Linked DNA regions of Caenorhabditis elegans. The protein of the gene in region 1 purifies or fractionates together with the protein of each later gene. This does not show direct contact. Each region holds a gene or a part of one and is shown in the gene's direction. Other genes may lie near its edges.

Region 1 (6,261 bases):
TCGACTTTTCGAAAATAGGCTCCGCCCACGTCTTGACTATTTGAGTGTTGAATTTTTCTCGTACAAGAAATTGAAAAGAGGCAATAAATAATTCCCTTTGATTTTTTGCGAAAAATACTTTGAAATTAAGTTTTTTTAGTCGGAAAATCGATATTTCGTTGCGAGACCCAATTGTTGGGTGTCAAATTGAAGGTCTCGGCGCCGCGCTGAGTTCAAAAATTTGAATATTTTTACTGGAAAAATCATCGAATTTCTGACCGATTTTCTTCCAGGAAATGGCATCAGCAATGTGTGCGGAAAGAGGTGCTCACTTATTTGCAACTGATGAACGATTCTGTATTGATAACGGTGCAATGATTGCAAGAGCCGGCGAGCTCATGTTGGGTATGCAGTGTGTGTTTTATTGAAGAAATTGCGAATTTTCACCTGAAAAATCGATTTTTTCGCTGAAAAAACAAGGGATTTTGTCTGAAAATTGCATTAAAAGTCAATTTTCTCACTTATTTTCACCTGGAAAATCGATTTTTCACTGAAAAAACCAGGATTTTCATTCGAAAATTGCATTAATAATCAATTTTTTCACTTATTTTTATCTGAAAATCGCATTTTGACTAAAAAATTAACCGAAAAATGCAAAAATTCGCGATTTTTGACATAATTTTATCCCAAAAATTGTAATTTTAAGTCAATTTCAGCCTCCGGAATGCGTTTCGACCTTCGTAAAACCACAACCACCCAGCGATATAGAACGGATCAGGTTCACGTTGAATGGAGAGATTAATCGGTGCCTACCTACCTGCCTGCCTACAGGCGTAGGCAGGCATTTCTTCTGCTTCACGTTGTTTTTTTTTTCGTTAATTTTATTGATTTTTCTCCACTTTTCTTGTTGTTGTTGTTGTGCCGCGTGGCTGTTCTCATTTCTTTAAAATTTTACGTTTTTTTTTTCTCGAAATTTTGAAAATAGTTATCCCCCGTCCAATTTTCAATCATTTCTTTATTATTTTCTCCTGTTCTTCACACGTTTTTTGCACAAAAAGGAACGGGAAACAAAATGGTCGACGGATGTGCTGAGGTATGGCTTTTTTTTTACCGAAACCAACCTACCAGGCCCTAACTATCTGCCTGCAGGTACGCCGAACCAATAGGCGTTGGTCGCCTTGCAGGTGGGCAAATGTGATGTGATTGTTTTTTTTTAAATGTGATTTTATACCAACTTTCTAGTAGGCACGCTTGTAGGCGCCAGGTAGGCAACGATTTTTTCGTTTTTTTTTCCAAGTAAAAGTTAAGAAATACTAATTGATTTAATGGTAGGCACGCGAGTAGGCAGCCATTTTTCGCCAATTTTCCGTTTTTTTTTCGTATTTTCAAAAGCAAAAGGTTTAGGCATAAGGCAGGCGTAGGTAAAAACCCCCCGAAACCTCTTTTTTTTTGCAGAAATTCGAGCAAATGAGTTCATGGATTGTGCTGATTTCAATTGTTCCAATAACATTCAGCTTTATAACTGTCATTCTTTTGTGCTCATCTCTTCTAAAAGTGAAGAAAATGCGTGGAATTTGTGATGGAATCCATTCGAATGCTCATTGGTTGTCTAGAACTGCTGTTCGTGTTGGAATTGGAGCAACTGCCCGTGTTACAATCAATGAATATGCATCGACGAAGCCTGAGCTCAAGAGATTGCTTAAATAGATTACCTTGTTTTGAATGGAATAAATTATTGGGGATTTTTGAATTTTTTTATTAATTTTTTTTGTTGCTTTTTATCGGTTTTTGAAATTCCGAAGATTTTATTTACTTTATTATTTTTTTCTCTAAAATTTTCTAGAAAAAAAATTGAAATTTGATTTTTTAATTTTTTTTCGAAAATATGAATTTTGCCGCAAATTAATTCTAAATTTCGCAAAATTTTTCAGTGTTTCTAGAAATTTCTTATCGAAAAATTGAGAAAAAAAAACTATAAACTATTGAAAATATTTATTACGGGAACTCAAAATTTTGAGAATGCGTATTTCACAACATATTTGACGCGCAAAATATAACTATATCTCGTAGCGAAAACTACAGTAATCCTTTAAATGACTACTGTAGCTCGGTTGTGTCAATTTACGGGAACTCGATAAATAAATGATTCAACTCATTTAACAGAATCGAGATCCCGTAAATCGACACAACCGCGCGCTACAGTAGTCATTTAAAGGATTACTGTAGTTTTCGCTACGAGATATTTTGCGCGTCAAATATGTTGTGAAATACGCATTCTCAAAATTTTGAGTTCCCGTAATAAATATTTTCAATATTTTATAGTTTTTTTTTCTCAATTTTTCGATAAGAAATTCCTAAAAACACTGAAAATTTTGGGAAAATTAAAATTTTTCTTTCCAATTTTCAGAAAAAAATTTTAAAATTTGAATTTTGGAATATGGCTCAAAAATTTTGTGCAAAAGTGCAGAAAAAAAAATAAAATCCTATCATTTTTCGGGTTTTTTAAAGGATTTTCATGTCTCTTCCGAATATTTTTTTGTTGAAAATTTGTGGTAAATTTGAAAATTTCATGAATTTTTTCTCCAGATGACCGGACTGAAACACTACACTGCTCAGGGATACGAAGCATTTCAGGAGACACTGAAATCGATTGGAAAAGGAAAACGAGTCGTCGCTCTGTTCACTGGATCCAAAATTCTGACAACCGGAGAGTCTTGGTGCCCGGATTGTGTTGTTGGTACGAGATTTTGATGGCCTACCTACCTGCCTACCTACCCGCCTAGCTCATCCCCTGCGTACCTATCTGCTAACAGCCTCTGCCGCTTCTGTGCTTACCTACTCACCTATCTACAGTCTACATGCCTACCTACGGTGTGCCTGCCTTTGCCTACCGCATACCTATGCCTACCTACTGCTCACCTCACGCCTGCCTATAAATTAAAAAAATAATATATTTGAATTTCAGCTGAGCCAGTTGTCGAAGAAGTGATCAAGGACGCCGCCGTCGCCGGACTCGATGTCCATTTTGTCACTGTTTTCGTCGGAAATCGTGAAGTGTTCGTGGATTTTTGTAAAAAAAAATCGATAAAATTACGAAAAATCAATATTTTTTGGAAAAAATCAATAAAATTACGAAAAATCAATAAAATTATTAAAAAATCAAAAAATTATAAAAAATCAATAAAATTATAAAAATCAAATTTTTTTTGGAAAAAGTCGATAACATTACGAAAAATCAATTTTTTGAAAAAAAAAATCAATAAAAATATAAAAAATCAATAAAATTATAAAAAATCAATAAAATTATAAAAAATCAATGAAATTATAAAAAATCAATGAAATTATAAAAAATCAATTATTTTTAAATCAATAAAATTACGACAAATCATTTTTTTTTTTGGAAAAATTCATTTTTTTATAATTTTATTGATTTTTTCCAAAAAAAATCAATTTTTTTTAGAAAAAATCAATAAAATTATAAAAAATAAATTTTTTTAAAGAAAAAATCAATAAAATTATAAAAAATCAATTGTTTTTTAAAGAAACATCAATAAAATTATTTAAAAAAACCAATTTTTTAAAGAAAAAATCAATAAAATCATAAAAAAAATCAATTTTTTCTGGAAAAAATCAATAAAATTATAAAAAATCAATGAAATTATAAAAAATCAATTTTTTTTAAAAGAAAAAATCAATAAAATTATGAAAAATCTATAAAATTACGAAAAATCTATAAAATTATAAAAAATCAATTTTTTTGAAAAAAAAATCAATGAAATTACGAAATACTGTGTCAAAATTTTGAAAAATTCTCAAAGAAAAAATTTTCGGAAAAAATTATTTTGAAAAAAATTGCAAAAAATCTCTAAATTTCCAAATTTTCAGATGGCGTGACCCAGCTGTCGGATTCCGTACTGATCCAACACTCAAATTGACATGTATTCCGACACTTTTGGAAGTTGGAAACAAGGCAAAACGTCTTTTGGAGAGACAAATTGCCAATAAGCATCTCGTCAAGGACTTTTTCACTGAGGAAGACTAAATTATCGATTTTTTGGCTATTTATTGTGCTGAAAATTCCGCCATTTTGTTGTGATATTTAGACGATTTTTTGAATTGGGGTTATGGTTTTTGTTATTTAAAAAAAAAATTTTGTTCAGTTTATATAAAGGATTTGGTGATGGATTTTTTGATTTTTTGATTTTTTTTCAAAAAGAGGATGTGCCCTATTTTATGCTTAATTTTTTTTAATTGATTTTTGATTTTTTTTTGAATTAAAAAAAAGGAAAAATCGATATTTTGAATAAATTTTCTGAAAAATCAATACTAAATTCGAATTTCGATTTTCAAATAAAATTCGATTTTGTTTCGCACAAAAGTTAATAATTTAGTCATAGAAAATCGATAATTTTCATGAAATTTTTGAATAAAAATCAATATTTTATCGATTTTTTTCCAGAAGAAAATCGATAAACTGCAAAAAAAATATTTACGATTTCGACGACATTTTAAAAATAGAAAAAATTTCAGCATCCAATACCCCAATTAGATTTATATTCCAGATGACGTCATCACCAGAAATTTATCACGAAAAGCAACGTCTTCAATACTGCCTTATCCATACGGTTAACAATATTCTACAAAAATCCGAATTTGATCCGACAAAAATGGACGAAATTTGCTATGCGTTTAATGAGAGTAAATGGTTTAATCCACATAGGTACGCCGAAAAATTGATAATTTCCGGAAAAATCGATAATTTCCGGAAAAATCGATTATTTCTGGAAAAATCGATAATTTCCGGAAAAATCGATAATTTCCGGAAAAATCGATAATTTCCGGAAAAATCGATAGTTTCCTGAAAAATCGATAATTTCCGGAAAAATCGATAATTTCTGGAAAAATCGATAATTTCTGGAAAAATCGATAATTTCAGAAAAAATTGATAATTTCCGGAAAAATCGATAATTTCCGGAAAAATCGATAATTTCTGGAAAAATCGATAATTTCAGAAAAATTGATAATTTCCGGAAAAATCGATAATTTCTGGAAAAATCGATAATTTCAGAAAAAACTGATAATTTCCGGAAAAATCGATAATTTCCGGAAAACTCGATAATTTCCGGAAAAATCGATAATTTCTGGAAAAATCGATAATTTCAGAAAAATTGATAATTTCCTGAAAAATCGATAATTTCCGGAAAAATCGATAATTTCTGGAAAAATCAATAATTTCTGGAAAAATTGATAATTTCCGGAAAAATCGATAATTTCCGGAAAAATCGATAATTTCTGGAAAAATCGATAATTTCTGGAAAAATCAATAATTTCTGGAAAAATTGATAATTTCCGGAAAAATCGATAATTTCCGGAAAAATCGATAATTTCTGGAAAAATCGATAATTTCTGGAAAAACCGATAATTTCTTGAAAAAAATCGATAATTTCCGGAAAAATCGATAATTTCTTGAAAAAATGGAAAAATTATTTATTTTTTCAAAAATCAAATTTCAACAATTTTTTTTCAGATCCTGGATAGGAACCGGAAATTACGATGCGAATATCCTGATGGCGGCGCTTCAAAAACACGATTTAAAGGTGAACAACAACGATGCTCCGATCTTCCGCATCTTCGAAAAATCAATAATTATCGATTTTTTCCAGGTAATGTGGTTCGACAAGCGTGTTTCAGTCGAAAAAATCAATATGGAAAATGTGAAAGCAGTGGTTTTTAATATTCCATCACGGACCCTCCTCACATTGTACAGGGGACGACATTGGTTTGCAGTTATTCAGAAAAATGGAATGTGAGTTGCCGAAAAATCGATAAATTCGGAAGTTAGAATTATCGATTTTTTTTCTTCAAGAATCACCGATTCTTCCAAAAAATTGATGATTTCTATGAGAAATTACTGAATTTTCTTTTTAAAAATTATCGATTTTTTAAAGAAATTATCGGATTTCTCGATAATTATCGATATTTTGAAAAAAAATTTCGATCTTTTCGATTAATTATCGATTATTCATTGATTTTACTTCAAAAATTATTGATTTTCTTTCCAGATTCTACAACGTCGACTCAAAAATCAAACAGCCGCAGGTGATCGAAGATATTCGGAAGTTTGTGAAAATCCACGTGGATTCGCCTGATTCGGAAGTGATGCTGGTCGTGGAAAACAGTGTCGACGAGGCGACGGTTGTCGATAAAAATTAAAAAAATCAATTTTTTTCTTAAAATTTCATTTTAATCTTAAAAAATCGTGTAAAAATTGCAATTTCATCT
Region 2 (6,541 bases), on another chromosome or scaffold:
TGCATAACGATTGATTTGACAACGTGAGAACGTATATAATCAACCACGATGTAATAATCTTTTATTTTACTGTAATTTCAAAATTCTCGAATCACCAAATGTTCCAAGAAACTTCCCCCAGGAGACATCTCACAAAAACACGAAGCATTATTGTTTTCGAATCTCTAACTGTAATCTTACATTTTATTCCGAGTTGATAGTGAGTAAATTTTACCCATCAAACTCAGATAAAAACCTGCAAAGAAGTAAAATCAGTAGAGTTTTTTTGATTATCATAAAAGATAAAATCTGTGCTGCCAGCTGAACGAAATTGCCGAATAGTATACATTTTCGCAATTTCCAATCTATCAATATACAGGGTGCGCCAAAAGTATGGTAACACGTGAAGCGCTCTTTTACATGAGCTTTTCGCGCGACTGCCACTTCATACATACAATTTTCTATAGAATACTGATAGCTGAATAAATTTCCTTCAATTTGACCTAAAATTTGTAATGTTTCCCAATAAGGTGTAACCTTTATCACCTCGGCAATTTGACGAACCCTTTCGGCAAAACAAAAAAAAAGTTTTGGCACGCGGCACTTCCCACACAAACGCACATCCCACGCACGCCAATAATTTTCAGATCTATGATTTTTATGTTAAATTCAAAGTTAAAGAAGTGAAGAAGCGTTTTTAATTGTTTTTGTAGTATTTGAAAATTTTCTGTATCGACACTGGCGCCTAGAAAAAACCTTTGAATATTTCATGAATTCAACTTTGCGAAAATTACTCAGTTTTTTTTGTCTTCACAAGGTGTAACGACCCACAAAATCATCCGAGCTTAATCTTCTATTAAAATTCTTGAAAGTCAGATCAAAACGTTCCCCGAAAAATACTAAAATGAGTTTTCCTGCATACTGCTGCCGCCGCTCACATCTATCTTTCTGGCGACTGTGTCATTCAAGGCTTCTATGTCATTCAAACTACTGCCACAGTCATACCATGACAGAACTTTTTTGGATTTTTGTTTTCAAAGAATCTCTAGACCAAGAGCATTCTTTGAACTATAAAAACTTGTAAGATACTTGATGGGTTCCTCGAAAAAAAAAAAGTAAAAATCCCGCAGAATGCCGACTTGCGTGCCATCAAGAACGTGATCTCAAAAGTTCGGAAAGCCTGCAGCGATGCGGTTAGGGAAATTTTAAAAATTTTAAACGTTAATCTGGTCAGTATTTCATGGAGATCAAAATTTATACAAATTGATGTAATAACTCTCGCCACACGTGAAGTTACAGAGCTGCAAACGTGTTACCATACTTATGGCGCAGAAGAAAAATCAATCAACAATAACTTTATTTAGGATACACCTGCAAATATCCAAAACGATTTACGATCATAGTTTTTTCCCAAAAAAGTCTTTTCGAAAAATCCCTCAATCAAGGCGCCGGGTCTTTTTGAATACTCATTTAAGTACCAGTTCACCGGTCCGAAAAAGATAGTAGTGTTGCGCCGAATGATCAACACAAGTCCACATTCATCGCCGAACCGTTCGCAAAGCTTTTCCGCATAATCTCCTGGAGATTCTTCGAAGGATGCTCGATGCAACACCTCCACAGTCGTAGTAAGTACAGTGTACCGCATTTTCTATATTAGTCGCCACTACCATACTTTTATAATGTGTTTAACTGAAGACAATTAATGTTAATGTTAATGCAATATGAACTAATACGGAAAATACGGTATTTATTTAAAGAAAACACCATTAATTAATTTAAATCAATATTCAGCATTCATGACCTTCGTGAGTACGTGCGTGGTCTTCGCGAAACGTTCGGCGCCGAATGTGGCTTTGTGGGGATTATTCGAAAACATAGAAACATTCGCAAACGTTGGGTAAACTGTGACCCAGACGATTATCCCAGAGGACCCGGTGACTGTATTGAGAGATGTTTCAAGGGCAATGGTTCTGACTTTTTTTTTGGTAGTGGCGACTTTTTTCAGTACTGGTACGGTCAAAAGTTTGAGATAATTGCTGGTGTTCGATGAATATTTGTAGTTTTTATTCAAAACCGTTCCATTGTAATAAAAACTACGACATTTTATCTTTTTGCGATTTCTTTTTTTTTAAATAAATATTTTATCTAATACCTTCAAGGAAAACTAATGTATCTTTTACATGTTTTTTGTGAATAAATCTTTTCTTTCTTTTAAAATCTTTTAAAAAAATCAGAATTTATAGTTTAGTTCTTTAGTTCGGAACTCACTTACTATGCCAAAAATCGTGTTCCCTAAATGAGTCACTTGGTACTATTGACATATTTGAGTATTTTCAACACATAATTTTCTTTGACATTTTTGCCCTTTCCGAATTTTTATGAGGAAGACGCTAGCATTCCTGATAAAGAAAATGTCAGTATTCCTCATACTTAGTTCCACAAGAAAAATGGCATGCGTGTAATGTGTAGCACTAGAGTATAAAACAAGAACAGAGAAAAGAAAGATAAGACATCATTGCTTTTCTATTTGGAGACAGTTATATATTTCAAGATGGCTGGTAAGATTCTATTTTTAAAATAATATGAAATTGAATCGAATTCTCAATTTTCCAGCTGTAAACTACACGACGGGATTTATTTCGGTGGTCACTGGCTGCCTAGGAGTACATGGGGCTTATGCGTCCGCCGCAGTGGTTCCGCATTTAACTGCGATTTGTGCATGCGGTGCTATAGTTAGTGCATATGTTACGATGGCTGCATACAAAGATGACAAATCAACGGAGCTGATACTCAGCGAGCTCAAAACGCTCGACAAGAAGATTGGGGAACTGTCACATAAGATGGACGCGTTGTTCGGTGATCTTAAGTCATTTATAACAACGTCTCACTTTTACATGGTATGTTCGGAATAGATATTGGTTCAAAGTGTGGTTACGAAGCCTTCTGCGCAGGAAAAAAGTTAATCACGACCCTTTTTAACCTTCACCCTTTACCCTTACTCAAAATTTTGCAGAATGAGGTCGCTACAATCAAAACGTTGATGAAATACATGCAGGATACGATGAACAATCCTTGTAAATACACAAAAGAGCTATTTCGTGGCGCTGTGACGGATAATAAACCTTTGTGGATTGCAGAGGTAGGACTTATTAAGGAATCACAAGATTTCAATGTTAGACAGCTTCAAATTTCCAGCAAATGATTATAAAACTCGACCAGGAGGAAACGAATCCTCTCAAAATGGCAATGAACTGTGATCCTCTTCGACCAACGGAAACTTTTGAAAAATGGAGAAAAATAATCGACGGAGTGCTTGCCCAATGTGTAGGTACTCACTACATCCCTCACTAAATAAAGTGTATCATATTCAGCTGATTTTGGAGACGTACCAGAATGGAATGTTTTGCGATAAGAACATGATTGGACCGAGTCGTTTAAAGAAGCAAACCGAAGAATTACAACTGAAAATGAATAGATGGGCTGAAGAATACCGTCAAGATCACTCGTACTGGGACGATGGAGTCTTAAGTTTAATCCATAATGTGCAAGACAATAATGAGGGAAGTGAAAATATACGAAATATTTTGACTAAAGAATTGGGCAAGATCATGACAAAGTGAGTATTTTTGTAAATTGACAAGGGACATAAAAGGGTAATTGTGTATTATAACTTTACTTTTTTCAAATTAAATTATGACCGGGGTAGCAATTATTTTATCTGTTAAGTTATTTAAAACGTGAATAGTATTTCCATTATTAGGCTTACAAAGGAAGTATTCCAATTTAACCCCGGTCAATTTAGGCACTTTGAACTGGAAAGAAGTCGCTCTGAAAAATTTTCAATGCATTTTTCACGATTTTCGCAGCCCGTAAAATTCCTCCAAATGTTGATTTTTGCAGATTTCTGATGATTTCTAGGCTTTTGAGGGCCAACCAATTTTTTTCTGGAATTTTTTTAATTTGTGAAAAAATATAAAAGATTTTGGTCCCGAAAGACCAAAAAAGCCAAAAAATCTGCGTTTTCCGAAAATTTATTCAAAAAAAGACAGCCCTGCTGTGAACGTCAGTAATTTTTCTCACATCCACTTACAAATGTAACCATTTTTTGCACACCATATCGCAAACAGTCAGATTTCAAATTGATTTTCCAAAATATTTCAGCCACAAATTTTACGTGATCGTCTACGATTTCTGTGACGGTTCATCTGAGGAGTACCAATTCACTTCATACAGCTATTTCAAACGCAATTTTAAATCTTCTTTCAATCGAAACGGGTGCAATGCTTTTGTTTTACGAAGCCTCAGAACCCAAGATTGCAAAAGGCACGAGGAGAACCTTCAAAGAAAGCTGCAAGCTGCCCTTCCAATGGAATACGAGTTTGTATTTTGCGGCTTAATGGCATAACATTTGATCCAAACATTTTTTCAGCTACAGATTCAAATTGATTGATTATGCGGAAAAGCTTTGCAAACGGTTCGGCGATGAATGTGGACTTGTGTTGATCATTCGGCGCAACACTACTATCTTTTTCGGACCGGTGAACTGGTACTTAAATGAGTATTCAAAAAGACCCGGCGCCTTGATTGAGGGATTTTTCGAAAAGACTTTTTTGGGAAAAAACTATGATCGTAAATCGTTTTGGATATTTGCAGGTGTATCCTAAATAAAGTTATTGTTGATTGATTTTTCTTCTGCGCCATAAGTATGGTAACACGTTTGCAGCTCTGTAACTTCACGTGTGGCGAGAGTTATTACATCAATTTGTATAAATTTTGATCTCCATGAAATACTGACCAGATTAACGTTTAAAATTTTTAAAATTTCCCTAACCGCATCGCTGCAGGCTTTCCGAACTTTTGAGATCACGTTCTTGATGGCACGCAAGTCGGCATTCTGCGGGATTTTTACTTTTTTTTTTTCGAGGAACCCATCAAGTATCTTACAAGTTTTTATAGTTCAAAGAATGCTCTTGGTCTAGAGATTCTTTGAAAACAAAAATCCAAAAAAGTTCTGTCATGGTATGACTGTGGCAGTAGTTTGAATGACATAGAAGCCTTGAATGACACAGTCGCCAGAAAGATAGATGTGAGCGGCGGCAGCAGTATGCAGGAAAACTCATTTTAGTATTTTTCGGGGAACGTTTTGATCTGACTTTCAAGAATTTTAATAGAAGATTAAGCTCGGATGATTTTGTGGGTCGTTACACCTTGTGAAGACAAAAAAAACTGAGTAATTTTCGCAAAGTTGAATTCATGAAATATTCAAAGGTTTTTTCTAGGCGCCAGTGTCGATACAGAAAATTTTCAAATACTACAAAAACAATTAAAAACGCTTCTTCACTTCTTTAACTTTGAATTTAACATAAAAATCATAGATCTGAAAATTATTGGCGTGCGTGGGATGTGCGTTTGTGTGGGAAGTGCCGCGTGCCAAAACTTTTTTTTTGTTTTGCCGAAAGGGTTCGTCAAATTGCCGAGGTGATAAAGGTTACACCTTATTGGGAAACATTACAAATTTTAGGTCAAATTGAAGGAAATTTATTCAGCTATCAGTATTCTATAGAAAATTGTATGTATGAAGTGGCAGTCGCGCGAAAAGCTCATGTAAAAGAGCGCTTCACGTGTTACCATACTTTTGGCGCACCCTGTATATTGATAGATTGGAAATTGCGAAAATGTATACTATTCGGCAATTTCGTTCAGCTGGCAGCACAGATTTTATCTTTTATGATAATCAAAAAAACTCTACTGATTTTACTTCTTTGCAGGTTTTTATCTGAGTTTGATGGGTAAAATTTACTCACTATCAACTCGGAATAAAATGTAAGATTACAGTTAGAGATTCGAAAACAATAATGCTTCGTGTTTTTGTGAGATGTCTCCTGGGGGAAGTTTCTTGGAACATTTGGTGATTCGAGAATTTTGAAATTACAGTAAAATAAAAGATTATTACATCGTGGTTGATTATATACGTTCTCACGTTGTCAAATCAATCGTTATGCAACAAAATAGTTATGAATTTTGAGCCGAGACTCATTCCCCCTAAATACCATTCAATTGTATCTAACAATTTTACATTCTAAATTTCTTCCGATTTGAATAAATATGTTTAACATCTATTCCGTTTTGTTTTATGAAGATTGTAGTAGACAAGTAGTAGAAAACTCTAATTCACAATCACCTGATTTTTATAGAGGGATAGAGGACAACAGAGCAAGCGGGAAAGATGTAGGTCACAATAGGAAACAACTTCCATGGTAGGCAAGCGCGTTTTCAGGGACCTGCCCGCCAGCCTTCCTGCTCATTGTTTGCATTTTTACGTGAATTTACAAATTTATTATATAATTTTCTCATTTCTATAAATTTGATAAATATCAAATCACAAATTAAAAAAAGAATCACGTATGCTTTACTAGTTAGCATAAGAAGCGGGTTGTGGCGAGAGGCAGGCGGAGGTTGTCTTAAGGTCAGGCAGGCAGGTGTTTTAACGCCTACATGGAAGCTCCAGGTCACAAAAAAATATATAGTATGTAACACCTATTGTTCTATTAACTGCTCGGGC
Region 3 (5,591 bases), 2.6 Mb from region 1:
TAGATATTTTCTGAACGGGTTTCTCAATAAACAAATGGAAATTCCCTCTAAACCTTGAGAAAATTAGAAGTATTTCGGCAAAAACGTTCAATTTTCTTTTTTGAGAAAAATCATGATGCAAAAACTAAAATTCCTATAAAAACTTAATCAATCTGTGAATCGATACTTCCGATCACGGGTTTGATCGTTTGAACCCGTTTTTTCTCGGCGACAACGATGCTCCGACTTAACGCACGGTTTTCTCCGGTTTTTCCGGGTTTTTGTTCAATTTTACTGTGATTTAAGCAATTTTTCGCATAAAAATTGGTTTTTCAACATTTTTCTACATGATTTTTGATTTTTATTCACGAAAAACGATGAAAAATCGATGAAATTCGGGGAAAAACAAAAATTTCAGTTGCAAACGATGCTCCGAAATTCCGCGGCGCGCCCTGTTTATCATGAGTTGGTGTTTGAATAATTTTGATGATAATTTCAGACTTTCTCGAAGCTTTTTCGATAATTCCTTGAACTTCATGATTTTCGTCGATTTTTCAGAGTTTTTCCACTATTTTCCATCGTTTTCAGACCATGTCGAACATAGCATTCAACAGACTCCAACGAGAATGCAAAGAGGTCGTCACAAACTCGGAAATCAGCGAAACCGGAATTATGATCGAGATATTGAACGAGAATCTCACCGAAATCAAGGTAAAACGCCGCGAATTGTGTGTCGGAAATCTCAATTTTTATCGGTTTTCAGGGACACATCCGCGGTCCACCAGACACTCCATACGCCGGTGGAATGTTCGATTTGGATATTAAGATTCCAGACCAATATCCATTCTCGCCACCAAATGTACGAGTTTTTCTGCCTGGAAAGCTTGAAAATTGTCGAAATTTGTGTAAAAATCGCGGTTTTTCAGGTCAAGTTCAGCACAAAAATCTGGCACCCGAATGTCAGCTCGCAGACCGGCGTCATTTGCCTCGATATTCTTAAGGATCAATGGTAATATTGCGATTATTATTTTAAAATCGGAAAATTTAATTTATTTTCAACTTCAGGGCCGCTTCGCTGACTCTTCGCACGGTTCTCCTGTCGATTCAGGCGTTGATGTGCACACCGGAGCCCAAGGATCCTCAAGATGCCGTCGTCGCCAAGCAATACATGGAGAAGCCAGCAGTTTTCAAGGTAGCAGCGTGGAAAATTCAGAAAATTCGCGGAAAAATGGGGAAAATATTGCGAAATCCGATTAAAAAATCAATATGGGTCTGCTAAGTAATTAAGTAATTAGCAGACCCAAATCTTCCCTTATTTTGTGTGTTTTTTTGCGTATTTTGCCCCAAAAATTATCTATAATTTCCCATTTTTCAGGCCAACTCGAGTTTTGAAGCGTCAAAATTGAGAAAATTCGATGGGAAACGTGCAAAATTCGTTAATTCCCGAATTTTGGAGACAATTCTGACTGTTTTACACTGAAATGCACGATTTTCTCGGAAAATTATTGATTTTTGCCCTGAAATTTCAGAATTTGGCCGATTTTCTTTAGAATTTGGGTCTGCCAACTAATTAGCAGGCTTGTAGAAACGCCACGTGGTTTTCGATGGTCTGCTAAATATTTAGCAGACCCAAGTATGGTCTGCTAAATAATTAGCAGACCCAAGTATGGTCTGCTAAATAATTAGCAGACCCAAGTATGGTCTGCTAAATATTTAGCAGACCCTAATCCCGTATTTATCCTTTAAATTTAGTTTTTTTCGCGGAATTTACTGGTTTTTTCTTGTTTTTCAACCAGGAAATCGTTCAAATTCATCACTTTTTGTCCCAGAAGCCGAGAAAAATCAGTTTTTCAGCTCATATCGAAATTTGTTTTTCAAAAAGAAATTATAAAAAAGTTTAGCAGACCCAAAACTCAACAAATTTGGCGAAGTTGTTTTTAGTCTAAAAACTCGAATTTCCCCGAAAATTCGTTGTTTCCAGTGAGTGTAAAAACTCGAGAAATCTCAAAAAAAAAATTGGTTTTCATTCGAATTTTCTCAATTTCCACGCTTGAAAACTTTAGGTAGCCTAGAAAATAGACAAACATAGACAACATAAACTGAATAATAGCCTAATATGCTCTTAATATACTAAATTTCCACCATTTTTCAGGCCACCGCCGAGTACTGGACGACAAAATTCGCAAAGGGAGCCGTGAAAAACGCCGGATACCAGGCTCTCGTCGACAAGCTCAAGGATATGGGAGTCCGTGAGGAAGAGGCTGTCAGCGTGCTCAGCTGCAACAATTGGGACATCAATCGCTCGACGGTCTACATTTTCTCTTAAATTCTTTTTTATTCGATTTTTTTGAATTTTTTCTGTGAGCCTCTTGTCTTGAAGTTTGTGTCCTAAAAATCCCTTATTTCTTCCATTTTTTTCCGAGAAATTTTCGTCCCCAACCCCCCGCACCACTGGTATTTCTTTTTACCAATTCGTACCATCCTCACCCCAAAAAAACCGATCAGAATAGTAGATTTTCCGCCTGATTTGTGTGTGTTTTGCCTATTTATTATCGATATTATTCATTGAAATTTCCCCCCTTTGACCCCCATTTTTTTTGCAACGATACTCTTTCCATGAATTATATTGACGGAGTTGTAGCTGCAATTTTTATCCGATTTTCTGAAAATTTTTGGCGAATGTCGTTTTTAATATCTTTAAAACTCCATTTTTATCTGTAAAATCTATAATTTTAGCACCCAAAAAAATGCCAGCAGAGCCACAAAAATCCACAGAAGCCGGCAGCGTGGCACCGGAGAAGAAGCTGAAAGCGTGCTGCGCGTGTCCTGAAACGAAACGAGTGAGGTTTTGATGGAAAATGGAAAAATGGCGAAAAATTCCAATTTTGCGGTTGAAAATCGCTAAATTTTACATTTCGACTATCCAAAACTGATTTTTCCGAGTTTTTGCATCAAAAATCGAGAATTTCTGGGAAAAAACTCAATTTTGAACATAAATTCGAAAAAAAATGGGTCTGCTAAATATTTAGCAGACCCATTTTTGGTCTGCTAAATATTTAGCATACCCAACTTTGGTCTGCTAATTATTTAGCAGACCCAAGTATGGTCTGCTAAATATTTAGCAGACCCCAGTATGGTCTGCTAAATATTTAGCAGACCCCAGTATGGTCTGCTAAATATTTAGCATACCCAATTTTGGTCTGCTAAACATTTTGCAGACCCAATTTCGAAAAATCTTAATTTTTTCCTCAAAAACGGAATTTTCTTGGTTTTTACAGCAAAAATCGAGAATTTCCGCGATTTTCTGACTAGAAAACCTGAAAAATTCGTGAAATTCGTTGAAAAAACTCAATTTGGAACAGAAATTCGAAAAAAAATGGGTCTGCTAAATATTTAACAGACCCAAAACTACACTAATCCCGTTTTCCTTAGCTAAAAACCCCAGATTTTCACACTTTTTCGTCATTTTCAAATGATTTTCCATTCAAAACAAATGAAATAACCCCAATTTTCAGGTCCGTGACGCTTGCATCATCGAAAACGGCGAGGAGAAGTGCGGAAAACTGATCGAAGCCCATAAAGCCTGCATGCGAGCCGCCGGATTTAATATTTAACTGAAATTTTTAATTTTTTTGCATTTTTGAATGTTTTGTTATAGCTGTAGCTAGTTTTCTTGTTTTTTTTCTTCAAATTTTCATATTTCATAGCTTTAACATGAATTTTTCTGTTTTTTTTTCTTTTAAAATTAGTTTTTCTCACTGAAAACCGTGGTTTTTCCATTAAATGTATATATATATATATTTTGCCACGTGGCTCTATTGTTTATTTTTTATTATTTATCTGTAAACTTTTCCAGATGGATCAAAAAACGGGCCGGCAAAAAATGGAAGAGGCCGAGTACCTCCACGTGGGCCTCAATAGAATATTCGAAATTGCCAAGGAGAAGGTGGAAGTTGTCAGAATTGGGTAAAAAAACGGAATTTGCACTTTAAAATACCCAAAATAATCTGAAAAATCGCTTTTAATGCAGAAAAATGGAAAATTTCGCATTTTTCTGGAAAAAAATGTGAAAAATGTGATTTTTCTCCAAGAAATATTCGAAAAATCACTTTTTTTATGTTTAAAAATGTGATATTTCTTGGTTTTTTTTTCAGTATTTTCGAGTATTTTAACATTTTTATTTTAGAAATGGCTCAAATGACAAGAAACAGCTAGCGAATGACGTCAGAGAGGCACAGAAGGTGCTCAGAACTATGCAAACTCGAATTTCAGACCTAAAAGCCCTCGGCAAAGATGTAATCGTCTGAATTTTCCAGAATTTTCTCCTAAAAACCCAAAAAATTCCAGATTCCATCGCTAAACGACCAAAAAACCGTGAAAATCCACGTGGAAAGCCACGAAAAACAAATGAATTTTCTGCAGAGAAAGTTGAAAGAGGGATCCGAAGAAATTCGAAAGGATATTGGTAAAAAAAATTCCAAAAAATCAGAGAAAAATTGAGAAAAAATTTGAATTTTCAGTCGAGGAAGAACGGAGATCACTGCTGATGAAGCGAGATGGGACTATGGCAACTGGAAATATTAAAATTGCGGCTCCACAAGTGGTATGGAGCTTGAACATCCAAAAAAATCGATAAATGTCCATAAAAACGCGGATTTTCGCATCTTTATGTTTTGCAGACTCTCATTTTTTTCGAATTTCTGTTCAAAATTGAGTTTTTTCAATGGATTTTACGAATTTCTTAAGCTTTTTTAGCTAGAAAATCGTTAAAATTCGTTACAATTGTGGCAAAAAAACCGGAGAAAACTCGGTTTTTGTTCTAAAATCGAGGTTTTCATCGCTTTTTTGGTGGATTTTTCACATTTTTCGGCCAGAGGATGTTTGAAATTCAATATGTTCATTACCAAGAATGGCCTGCTAATTATTTAGCAGACCCAAGTATGGTCTGCTAAATATGTAGCAGACCCAAGTATGGTCTGCTAATTATTTAGCAAACCCAAGTATGGTCTGCTAAATGATTAGCAAACCCAAGTATGGTCTGCTAAATGATTAGCAGACCCAAGTATGGTCTGCTAAATGTTTAGCAGACCCAAGTATGGTCTGCTCAATGTTTAGCAGACCCAAGTATGGTCTGCTCAATGTTTAGCAGACCCAAGTATGGTCTGCTCAATGTTTAGCAGACCCAAGTATGGTCTGCTCAATGTTTAGCAGACCCAAGTATGGTCTGCTAAATATTTAGCAGACCCAAAATCGATTTTCTCCAAACAAATTTTTTGAAAAAAAATTATTTTTCAGCGCGCAAAAGCCCTAACAGATCTCAACGCAAAAATGGCGGAGCTCGTGAGCGGCGGAGAGCAGACAATGACGACGCTGGCACATTCTTCGTCAGTTTTAGGGAATACACATTCCGAATATGACAATCAAAAGGCACTTATTGGGGTGAGATTTATGAAATTCAGGCAAAAATTTGAAAATTTCAGTAAAAAAAGCCAAAAAACCTTTTGAAAAAACTCATTTTTTTTAGAAAATAATCCCAAAAAATTCAAATTTTCAAAGAAAAATTGACAAAAAAAAAGTTGTTTCTCTATTTTTAGGGGTTTCAAATTTAAAGA

Evidence for each region.
Region 2: the proteins of txdc-17 (region 1) and Y94H6A.2 fractionate together in Caenorhabditis elegans (co-fractionation; one large-scale study listed by BioGRID). This does not show direct contact.
Region 3: the proteins of txdc-17 (region 1) and cox-17 fractionate together in Caenorhabditis elegans (co-fractionation; one large-scale study listed by BioGRID). This does not show direct contact.

The regions. Positions count from the first base shown.
Region 1 is NC_003281.10:2,832,098-2,838,358, forward strand, and holds txdc-17 (Thioredoxin domain-containing protein 17), read left to right. Parts: upstream 1-2,565; coding exon 2,566-2,716; intron 2,717-2,944; coding exon 2,945-3,035; intron 3,036-3,864; coding exon 3,865-4,021; 3' UTR 4,022-4,164; downstream 4,165-6,261. Other genes in the region: Y71H2AM.1 (N(6)-L-threonylcarbamoyladenine synthase), read left to right, coding at 273-384, 696-781; Y71H2AM.29 (G_PROTEIN_RECEP_F1_2 domain-containing protein), read left to right, coding at 1,052-1,072, 1,435-1,686; josd-1 (ubiquitinyl hydrolase 1), read left to right, coding at 4,542-4,699, 5,507-5,576, 5,643-5,785, 6,042-6,192.
Region 2 is NC_003282.8:2,727,762-2,734,302, forward strand, and holds Y94H6A.2 (DUF4781 domain-containing protein), read left to right. Parts: upstream 1-2,530; coding exon 2,531-2,537; intron 2,538-2,592; coding exon 2,593-2,876; intron 2,877-2,992; coding exon 2,993-3,118; intron 3,119-3,174; coding exon 3,175-3,303; intron 3,304-3,350; coding exon 3,351-3,595; intron 3,596-4,140; coding exon 4,141-4,356; intron 4,357-4,408; coding exon 4,409-4,643; 3' UTR 4,644-4,661; downstream 4,662-6,541.
Region 3 is NC_003281.10:188,271-193,861, forward strand, and holds cox-17 (Cytochrome c oxidase copper chaperone), read left to right. Parts: upstream 1-2,715; 5' UTR 2,716-2,726; coding exon 2,727-2,819; intron 2,820-3,494; coding exon 3,495-3,593; 3' UTR 3,594-3,711; downstream 3,712-5,591. Other genes in the region: ubc-20 (UBC core domain-containing protein), read left to right, coding at 571-690, 743-838, 906-988, 1,045-1,171, 2,132-2,305; sec-20 (Sec20 C-terminal domain-containing protein), read left to right, coding at 3,836-3,945, 4,166-4,274, 4,327-4,444, 4,500-4,582, 5,275-5,418.